Linked DNA regions of Arabidopsis thaliana. The protein of the gene in region 2 interacts with the protein of the main gene of each other region in a pairwise test. Each region holds a gene or a part of one and is shown on either strand. Other genes may lie near its edges. The genes, in order: CRC, AT3G59470 and LOL2.

Evidence for each region.
Region 1: the proteins of AT3G59470 (region 2) and CRC interact in a two-hybrid assay, tested with the Arabidopsis thaliana proteins (one large-scale study listed by BioGRID).
Region 3: the proteins of AT3G59470 (region 2) and LOL2 interact in a two-hybrid assay, tested with the Arabidopsis thaliana proteins (one large-scale study listed by BioGRID).

The regions. Positions count from the first base shown.
Region 1 is NC_003070.9:26,007,406-26,011,163, reverse strand, and holds the start of CRC (Plant-specific transcription factor YABBY family protein), read left to right. Parts: upstream 1-2,022; 5' UTR 2,023-2,223; coding exon 2,224-2,325; intron 2,326-2,503; coding exon 2,504-2,623; intron 2,624-2,716; coding exon 2,717-2,825; intron 2,826-2,925; coding exon 2,926-2,974; intron 2,975-3,089; coding exon 3,090-3,165; intron 3,166-3,261; coding exon 3,262-3,324; intron 3,325-3,403; coding exon 3,404-3,430; 3' UTR 3,431-3,758. UniProt on the Arabidopsis thaliana protein: Transcription factor required for the initiation of nectary development. Also involved in suppressing early radial growth of the gynoecium, in promoting its later elongation and in fusion of its carpels by regulating both cell division and expansion.
Region 2 is NC_003074.8:21,979,222-21,982,979, forward strand, and holds the start of AT3G59470 (Far-red impaired responsive (FAR1) family protein), read right to left. Parts: upstream 1,619-3,758; 5' UTR 1,308-1,618; coding exon 1,307-1,307; exon of another isoform or gene 912-1,306; coding exon 322-911; intron 79-321; coding exon 1-78.
Region 3 is NC_003075.7:11,487,003-11,490,760, reverse strand, and holds LOL2 (lsd one like 2), read right to left. Parts: upstream 1,786-3,758; 5' UTR 1,693-1,785; coding exon 1,524-1,692; intron 1,342-1,523; coding exon 1,234-1,341; intron 776-1,233; coding exon 666-775; coding exon of another isoform or gene 609-665; exon of another isoform or gene 542-608; coding exon 461-541; 3' UTR 338-460; downstream 1-337. Other genes in the region: ENDO5 (endonuclease 5), read right to left, coding at 3,526-3,644, 3,728-3,758. UniProt on the Arabidopsis thaliana protein: Putative zinc finger that may be involved in programmed cell death and defense response.

The DNA.
Region 1 (3,758 bases), on a different chromosome or scaffold from region 2:
TTTTTGTTGTTATTAACTAAAGAAATCCATGACTTTTATTAATCTATTTATGTATTAGTTCTAACTTTGAGAGCAAACTTCAATGTATGTATATATTGGTTCTAACATTGAGAGGAAAACTCTAATCAAATAAAATTGTAAGTAAGCTAAATATGTGTGTCGAAGTAGGAAATCTAAGGAAAGTGAAGAATGCAAAAAAGTTAGTCACTGAAAGAGACGTGTGATTGATCACTTGTCTCCTTCCAATTTCCCTGTGGGGGCAGTGCATGCACAAAAGATGGAATCCATCCTATAGCTCCTCCTTTCTTCACTATCTTTTCAAGTTTCTCTTTTTGAATATATTTTTTTTAAATTGATTTTGATTTAACTCAAAGCCCACACTTCTTAATCCATCTTCTCTATAATTAGTATGCCAACAAATATATATGCTTGTTCTGTCTCAAATTTCAACAATAAAGCGTGTATAGCTCCCAAAAAGCTATGTTGATGAGTTATCACTCTTTTTATGGATTGGACTAATAGTTTGTCTCATGTCAAAATGATTATACATAACTCAGAATCCAGCAGTATAGAGAACTTAACTTTTATATATATGTTAACCCTCATAACCTCAAACAGAAAATTTGTAGTGCAGTGTAGAAAACATCCTTAAACATAAAGTAAATCCTTTAACAAAAAAAATAAATATAAGTGGCAAATCAAGAGATTCTGCTTTTGAGTCCAATGTATGTATAGTTGGATGTTCTGAAGAAGATCCATTGTTTTGGTTGTTTCTCTACAGTTAAACGATTTTTATATTTAACTTATTAATGCAATTGAGTGAAAATTTCACGATGAAGAAAAAAGTTGTGAATCATGACAAGTTTTGTCCTCAGTTTTGCAGTGAAATCATTTTGCGTGAAAATTTTATGAGAGAAACAAAAAAAAAAAAAACTGATCAAAAGATCAGGAAAGGACCATTCTTAATTTATAACATGTGGGCAAGTCAAGGCTTGCTGGCATCAAACTTGAATAAATGTAATCATATTCACACCATGTATTGTTTAATATATAATTTTAATATCTTAATTGGTCATCTATTTTTGTCTTTTTGCATCGCATATGTGTCATAATTAATATCTGTACGATGTAGAGGCTAGTGAATATAAAGTGAAAACATAGATATATCGATCTTAAACCAATGGTATCTTACACCATATGTATATGCTTGTTTGAAAATATTTATTCTACGAAAGTATTAATTGGATTGATTGTTTTCACTCTCTTGAGTAATTTTGGATAAGTTAATAGTTATTATTTTTATTACACATGATTAAGGTGTATTGTTAATTATAAATCATATTTATACGAAGACATGGTTGAATAATGTCCAACACAGCTTATTTTAGCAAAAACTAATGTACGAGGAGTGACATTTAGGGTCTTGATATTTTTGAAGCAAAATTAAATACGTCTGCAAGATTTTGCAGAGGGAGGCATGTACTATATCATCTGCAATAGTAGCAACATAGATAAAAGTCATAAACCCCTAGATCCGGTCCCTTTAATTTAATTCATATATATGATTTGACATAAAATTACTTTTGTTAAAAAGTTTGTTTTTACATTAAATTCTTCTATCTTTTTTCTAAATATCAGTTTAATATACATTTGTAATTTTTCTTGCAATCCCTAGCCAGCTTAATGATATCATTTTTTTTCCTTCTTTATATCCAGAGAAATTTTATGCGGAAACGTAGATTAATATCATCGAACTTGTTGATCCAATTTGTTTTATCTTTTAAAACATTTACAGTGATTACAAAATAGAATATATAGCAAGTAAATATCCAACGAAAACACATAATGTCTTTAACAAAAAAAAAGAACGAAAAAAAAAAGAAAACACATAATGTCACCATTAGAAACTCGTGTCTACACCAGAAGTCATTAGTTTAAGATATTCATTTTTTTTTTTTTTGATAAGATGATATTAAATGTTGTTAAAATAAACAATAAAAATGCAATTATGGACTGCATATACACGTCCAACACTTTGACAATCTGTATCGCTCTCTCTCTCTCTCTATATATATATATGTCATGGTCTCACTATGATTGTTCTATAAATACAAGCCTCCTAACTCATAAAATAAGCATAACCCTAACTCTACAAAGTTCTTCTGATTCTTTCTCTCTCTCTCTTTCTTTCAAGAGCGGTTTTCAATCCATTCGCTAAAGACCATGAACCTAGAAGAGAAACCAACCATGACGGCTTCAAGGGCTTCCCCTCAAGCCGAACATCTCTACTACGTCCGGTGTAGCATCTGCAACACCATCCTCGCGGTAAATTATTACCTACATATAAGAAGATATATAAGCATATATATACTTGCATGACCCTATATATGTTGATAATATCACATACATGCTAAGCTATACATATTGTTGTTTATGTTATATATATATATATTTCTTCAAATTTTCGAGCTAATTTGTAAACCGAATCTACACACATATATAGGTTGGGATACCATTGAAGAGAATGCTTGACACGGTAACGGTGAAATGCGGCCATTGTGGTAACCTCTCGTTTCTCACCACAACTCCTCCTCTTCAAGGCCATGTTAGCCTCACCCTTCAGGTATATAACACTTGTGTTATAGTTATACATACGAGTATAATTCTTTTTATACAAAAAACTGATACTAAGCCAATCTTTGTTTTAACTAAGCAGATGCAGAGCTTTGGTGGAAGTGACTATAAGAAGGGAAGCTCTTCTTCTTCCTCTTCCTCCACCTCCAGCGACCAGCCCCCATCTCCCTCACCTCCCTTTGTCGTCAAACGTAATTAAGCTTATTACCATTTCTGACTCCTTTTTCTTCTATAAACTTAATCACTATCTACATATATATGATTATCTGTTGAACATCTTTGGTATTGTAGCTCCTGAGAAGAAGCAGAGGCTCCCATCTGCATACAACCGCTTCATGAGGTTTAACCTTTGACATATACTCTTTAGTTCCAAGTTAATTATGAAATTTAATGCATAAAAAATAAATATAATTTAGTACTCTTCTTCATCTTTTTTTGAAACAAAATATAAAAAGGGATGAGATCCAACGCATCAAAAGTGCCAATCCGGAAATACCACACCGTGAAGCTTTCAGTGCTGCTGCCAAAAATGTAAGACAAGTCTCTTTTTGTTACCAACCATTGTTGTCACCTTTAATATTATTTTTTCACAATTTCGTTTGTGTAAATGAAAAATGTCACAAACAGTGGGCTAAGTACATACCCAACTCTCCTACTTCCATTACTTCCGGAGGCCACAACATGATCCATGTAAGCTATACAAACTAAGTCTGCATAAGGACATATTTATATACATTATATAAAGATTTAAAATGTTTTGTTCAATTAGGGCTTGGGATTCGGTGAGAAGAAGTGAACAAAACTCAGGGGAAAAGAAGCCTAAAAATAACAAACGCATGCACGTGTGCGAGTGGCTGCGTCGTTTTTCTCATCTTGTGTTGTTCTTCTGTGTAATTTTCTTATGTATGTCATGTTGCAGAAAATGATGTTGCCTTAGTTTTTATGACTTTATATTTCTGTCTGTCTTTAGATTTGAAAGTAACGTCACTTGCTATGTCCCTTTGGACGTTTATGTCTGGTCTTTATTTGTCTTAATCCTATCAAAATTTTATATGCGTATTCCTTAATTCCATCTGGGACACTTTTTCTTTTCCCCAATGATTTGCAACTTTCAACATCGTAAC
Region 2 (3,758 bases):
ATGTCTTTTGTAAGTAGCCGCTCTCTTTTTCTCTGCTGCTAGCTGCTGCATCAGTTCCTGAATTTTGTCGTGTTCGTTCTGCAAATGAGGAGAGCAAAGTTTTAGAATTTAAGTCTTTTCTAGTAACAACTGATATATAAGCAAAATCAAAACACCAGCACATGAATATGAATATGCTATATAGCAACTAGTCACGAACCAGTATCACATCAGCATATATATATATATTAACCAGCTAACCAAGAAACGCCAATTTGGATTTTCAAATGCAATGGCTGAATATAAAGAAATATTGACCAACGAAAGAGAGTAACAACTAACCGGATATTGATCATAAATGCAACCCCTTCGAACTCTGCCAGGCATCAAAGAGTGATTGTGCTCCTTGACAAACTTTGTGATAACCCATTTACCAGAGTTCTCTTTTCTAATCAAGATCATTGCTTTACATCCAACCCTTGTTTCCGCTCTTTGTCTAATAACCTTATCCCGCTTGCTAGGCAACCTGTAACCTTCCTTGTTACAAACAAGTTGCCTGCCTATGGGAGATCCATCATGCCTTGACCGTGACAGTTTACTAACACGGATGACGAACCCTACTTTAGTAGCATACGCATTATAAAAACCATGAGCCGCTGCTTCAGATTCGAACTCCTGGCCAACGTAAGGCTCATCTCCTTGAGCCTCTGTCATATCTGCAACAGCCAGAGGAATAGAATCAAGATCCACCTTCTCATCTTGCTCACCAGAATTTTCACCGAGTTCATTATGGTTGTCATCATCTTGCTCAATCATTGCTTGACCAGAGCTTTCACCCATTTCATTATGATTCTCAACCGTGGTAACCTCAAGCTCAACAGGAATCCCCATCATCATCCCAGCAGCTACTCCATTATCAATCCTGAAATCCACTGCAACTCAAAAAAAGGGAAAACAGCAATTCCACTAATCAAATATCTAGCAAGAAGAGCTACAAGTGTTCATCATCTTACTAATACAAAGTTGTCATCTTTTCTATTCCACTGTCTAATTCAAGATATGAGAACAAAGCTCAAGTACAAGTGCTCTCAAAATCATCCAGCCTCCACCAACAATACAAAACAAACTTAAAATGGAACCATTCTTTGGGATTCACCGTCCCATAGATTCAAGAGTCATCAACAAATCGGGGTTTCCAAAAGTATCGAGATGTCCAACTTCTCAGTCTCATTCTTTCGCAGGGACTAGTCTAAGTGGCTTAATCGATCAATCCAAAATCGAAAATTAAAAACCCGAAATAATGGTGTAAGGAATAAAACAATCTTACTGGTCAAAAGATATTTTCCGGCAGATGTAGGTCGGAGACGACGATCGAATTAGGTTTTCGATTTGGGGGAGAGACAGAGAAGGTGCCGGTTCAGGGTATGGATTGCAGAGGACGCAGTACCCTATGACGTGGCGATAGATGATTGGGTCAAAATCGGAAAGAAGTCAACTCACCGTTCATCTAAGCTTTGGGTTTATCGACTTATGGTTCCTCCGGTGCGCTTCGCCTCGTATGATTATTCCTCATGTTCTTTTTTTTTCTTTCATTACATGTTTATTTTATTTTATTTTTTACAGCGTAATTCTCGCCGACCGACGCACCCGTTAGACCGGTGTGTCCATGACTTTTAATAAATGTTAAAATTGACCCCTTTATTATCCTTCATTTACATAATCATCCTTGTACTAACAAAATTTCTCTAATTTCTAGCATTCATTTTGTTCGTGTCAACCAGGCCAATTCAGCCGGTTTAATTAACTTTCTTTAAAATGCTATTGATAACCAGCTAATGATGGTTTAGTATACGATTTGACTACCAAACTACATTAGCTAAGTTTTTTTAATCATAGAAATTTTGAATAGCAAAAAACTTATTACATAGTAATATATTCAGTTACTTATATTTCATGATTTAGCTTATATCACTGTTATCATCGAAACCTATCCAGATAGTTTTAGGCATGACCACGGTTACGGTTATTACGGTTACGGTTTATTAACCACCGTATATGATTATAACTTTTTTTAACCTTAACATTAACCGTTATATATACGGTTAAAACGGTTACGGTTAAATACGGTTATGGTTAGATACGGTTACGGTTATTTGATAATTATGATATAATTAATATATGAGACAAAATATTATATTAATCTTTATAATAAAATAAATAAATAAATAGTGATATATCAAATAATAATTATTTTACGTGATTATGTGTTTCAAATATTTATAGCGAATCAGCTATCTATTTTTTTTAAATAAACCAATGAATATACAAATTAATGGTTATAATTATAATGATTTAATTAATTATATTTTTCAAACAAAAACAATAATAAAGAAAAGATGTTATGAGCACTAAGAAACAGTTTTTAGAGTATAAATAATAATAATATGAACTACTTATGATTTGATTTATGGTAAAAAGAGTAGTGGAGTAACTTCGATCGTATTAGTGGGCATATTAAACGATTTAAGTTACTATTTTAGTAAAATAATTATTTATTTAGAATTATACACAGTTACAACTATATTTTTAAGGTTTTAATAATACGGTTAACCGCGCGGTTAAACGTACGGTTAACCAACGGTTTTGATACGGTTACGGTTATTATATTTTTTTAACCGTAATGAATCTATTTTCACGGTTAACAGTTACGGTTATTAACCGTTTTATACGGTTACGGTTGGGTTACGGTTAATAAACGGTCCGATTACGGTCCGAAATACAGTTACAGTTAGATTTTGGTCATGCCTAGATAATTCGCAACTCTAGATTTTTATAGACATTATAAATCATCCACATATATATGAATCAGTAATCCAAAAAAAAAGATCTGTAACATATGGTTTTCTTTCGTTGCGTTTTAAAATATCCATTTTATTTAGCATTTATTAAAAATTCTCTTCACTTTTTTTTTTTTTTTTGGAAATCAATAAATCGCTTTAATTACGTGGAATAAAACGTCTAAGAAGAAGGATAGTCGTTAGTTAGTAGTGATAACTGATGCATAAAATATAACTTGGGAAATAGGAAACCAAATAGTGTTGGTACTTGGTAGATAGTCTCTGATAAATAAAAAGATCATACATGTCAAAGCTAGCCCCGTTTATAAAATTTGTAACAGATTTGCATTTCTCGATTTAGTAGATTTACATGAGATAATATCTTGTGTAATCGGAAATAAAAGTTATCCTAACAAATGAGATAATCGAAATTAGAGGAGGATATTAACATATTTATCCAACAACGGATATAAGCCCCTCGTAATTAACCTTGCGAAATTAAATTATAACAAATCATTCATTAATACATTTCGATTTTGGTAGATTTGCCTAAAAAATTATCCATGAATGGTATTTTATTGAAAAAGAAAGTTATCCAAAACAAACAAAATATTCGGAGTCAAAAGAGGAGGATTAATAGTATCTTTTACTCCCCTTAATAGTACTATCTTAACAACGGATAAGCCCCTAATAAATTAACCTTGTGAAATACGTCGTCTAGGTCCCATTGAAGAAGCATAAAATCTGGTCAAAAACATTAATCACTATTTACTCTAAATCTCACCAAATCATAACATATATGTAAACAACCAATAGAATATTACGATTAAAAAATAAGTTACCAAACACAGTTTAGATATCTTATCTGATCAATCTTTAAATGGATAAATTTGAATTTGTATTAATTAAAAGTCTTGTGGATTTGACTAAACCACTCACCCT
Region 3 (3,758 bases), on a different chromosome or scaffold from region 2:
CAGCTCTTGTTAGCTCTCTCGAGGACCCACCATTAGTTTGTATTTTATATGAAACTGTAATGTAAATTATTTATGCATATTTGGTTGGGTAAGAGTCCATGTTTTGTTTGCTATTTATACGACCTAATTATTGAAATTCATTGACAAATTCGGCCAAGTAGACTACTAGTTAGTTTTTCTCACCTGTGAAATATGAATTTTGTTTTTATGTATTGTGTGAGACTGTGAGCTGTGTTTGTTTATATTGGTCCAGTACATATATCAACTTTTGTATGGATATATACACATTCTTTTTAACCACTAAAGCTTAAAACAGTAAAGGATGATGAGCAAGTAATATCTGAAAGAATGGGAATTCAATGAGATTATTAATGGTGATTTTATTTCATCTATCCTTCGACATTATTACAAGGTTTTTAGTCGTCAAACCGGTTCAAAATTGACAAAAATCGGTTCAAGTTTAATTCTCTGCTCTCCTGAGACTGCTTAAACTTTTGAGTGGTCCTTGCTGCTCAGACCATGGAGGTCGTTTGTTGTTTTCCTGAAATATAACACAGTTTATTATAAATGATTCATCAGATGATTACTTACTCGGATCTCAAAATGTATCAACTCTTCCAAGTATGATTTGGACATGGAGCACAAAACCATCTGTGAATACATACACTGATATCTGTGACAGAATTGCAGGAGGAACATCTAACAGCTGGAGCTCCATAAGGATACATCAGTAGCAGTTTGCAATTGTTGCAATTCACCTGACCAACCTGGTTAGCTGCAAACAAAGAACGACAAGTCCAGAACCGATAAGAGAAGAAGGCTATTTCATCAATAATGAGGCCAAGTGATTCACAAGCTAAGAAGAACAATCTTGGTCTTAAGATCACACAATTTCCCCAAGAGTAGTAAGAGTAAAGGATAAAGACCACATAAATGGTCTACAAAGGAGACATTATGATGGAGTAGAGACCAAAAGGCTCACAAAAGCTTAAGAGAAGAATCCTAACCAAAGATCATTCTTGTGTCAGTTAAGAACTAAACTCATTTGGTCTCAGGAAGCTTACATTTTGAGATTCTCAAAAGAACATAGATATATCATTCACACATGCTAAGTAAAACTAGACTGAGAGAGCATTCCAAGATTGTTCCATTAAGAGTTTCAAGTGACTGAGATTATCAACAAAAGCTTTTCAAGTAATGAATAAGAGATAAAAAAGCCATGGAAGAACGAACCTTCAAGAACGAGATTAACAGTCTGACAAGAGGAGCACTTAACATGTTTGGATCCTCTTAGATAAGAAAGCAAACGCCTGCAAGATCCACATACCATTTGGGCCTTTTCTGCAACAACCCCAAAAACAAAGAAGATTTGCAGAAAAAAAACACTAATCAATTCTCGGAATCGAAAATGGGTTATCTCTAAAAGTCTACAAACTCCACTAAAAATCTCTAATTTGATCAGACTGTAGCAAGAAATGGAAGCAAATCGATAAACCCTAAAATAGACAAGACTACAAGAATACCGGGAATTTCTACGGTGGTGGGATTGGGGTTTACGGCGGCGGTGATGGTGACGATTGGAGGAGGAAGAACTGCAGATTCCCATCCCGGAGGCGGACCTTCCTCTTCCTCCTCTTCTTCTTCACGGTGCTTTTGTTCTTCCTTCTGCGTTTGTTGTTGTATCTCTTCCATCACGCCTTCCGTCTCGGCTCCGGCGAAGATGTCCAAAGTTAACTCTCAGATTATTATTACTTTTACCTTTTTAACTTTCCAGTAACGTTGACAAATAGTTGACTTTCTTAATAAATGTAAGGTAAAATTCAATACAAGAACAAACAAAAAAGATTTAGAAAGAAAATCAAAACAAATGATAGTAGATAAATTCGTTATTGCATCGGTGAATCAATGAACAATGTTCACATGACTCTCTTATCAATCAGATGGTAGTAACAACAGCATGCACTACAGCTAAATATTCTAGCTCATCCTTGGCTTTATATACATCGTCAAACCATTCTAGTATCCCCCAAATCTCTCCATCCTTGCGTTTTTCAATCGTAATTTCCGCACACCAAATTTTTCTCACGTTACCCCACTCCTTAGCACTCCACGTACACCACCACCATTTTTCCACCATAATATGCCAATTTAACATTACCATAAACTTTAGGCAATCTTTCCAACCCCTTCATAGTTGTCCATGATCCTTTTTCCGAGTCATACCAATCGATCATACCGTTACCACTTCTATTGCAACAGTAGAACACGTTCTTTATCACACAAAAAAATGATGAGCAACGCCATCCATTATTCATCGCTAAGTCTGCCGCTATCCATCTACCTTTATGCAGCTTGTAAGTCACATTATGAAAATACGACCTTACATAGACAGTTCCTTCATACACTATGCTCTCACACTTATAGCCTGTGCATATCTTCTCCTCACTCGGGAATTGCAAAAACTCCCAAGTTTGGGTTTTCGTATCAAAAACCTCCATCCATTTCGTTGAATCGAGAGTTCCGCGGCCTCCTGTTACATATATTTTCCCATCAAGGACGCAAGTAGATTGGAACACACGGGAAACCTGCATGCTAGGGGCCTCACACCATGTGTGAGTACGACAATCCATGACCATGACGCTAGACGAAGGTTTAGTTCTATTATTACTGAATCCCCCAATAGCGTAGATATTAGGACCAACAGCCACTACACTATCCGACCATGATGCAGATTTAGGATATGAAATTGGGATTAAAATCTTTTTTGAGCTATTTGGTTTGCGGCAAAGAGTGAACCAAATTAATTGTGGGTTAGAAGCGTCATATGTAATCTGCGTTAAGCACACGTACAAACAACTCTCGGTGCGGCCTAAGAGAGTTTGGGTCTGGTAAAGCTCCGTTGAAGTAAGGATAGAGCGGAATCTCTTGGATACTAAAGAGAGAGTTGGATAGTACTATCTTGAGATGCGGGCCAAATTAAACAGTTTAAAACCAAATCATCAGGAAGCATAAGAAAATTCATCCGTCTTCTTTTAAAAGGTGGCTCTTCTCCGTTCATTGCTGTGGAAGTGCACCCGAGAGCGCTAGCTGTGTCGGCTTTGCTTTTTTTTTCTCTCTCTCTTTTAGGGTTTAAGTAGCTTTTCACGTAAGAAACTCTTTTTTGTGTGTTTTGCGCTTAGGCTTTTTATGTCTCACTTGAAATCTTTATATAGCGAATTATCATTCCTAATCTAATGAGGAAATCTAACTTCTTTTTCTATTTTACTCCTTTATGTTAACTTACCTTTTTCATAAGATAAGAAGAAGGATACTAATTAACAAAACTGAAAACAAACAAAAAAAATGCAAAGTGTTATCCGTTAGTGTGGTTTGTTATTGGAAGTTTGAACCATGTCCCAAAATAACAAATTTTTGCATGAAGATTTTGGAGGTTCACTCATTAGTCATGACTCAACCATTCACAGTGTTATAAAAAACACTTAAAAGGAGTTGTTACGTGGGTTCTCAAGGATCTTTTTCTTAGATTCATAATCCTGCGAGCTTCGGTTTTGCAGAAAAGATACGATTAAGAGTAGCTGCCAAGCGAATCCCACCTTGTGCAAGTCTCTTCTCTACAACGGGTAACCGAGAAAGGAAATACTCATCTGCAGAGAAAGCAGAAGATCAAGTCATGTCCATGATTAAAGAAAACAAAAAGCCACGATCTGGTTTCATAGAGTAAGTATACCTCCTAAAGTAGTCCCCGGAGTAGCGTTCCT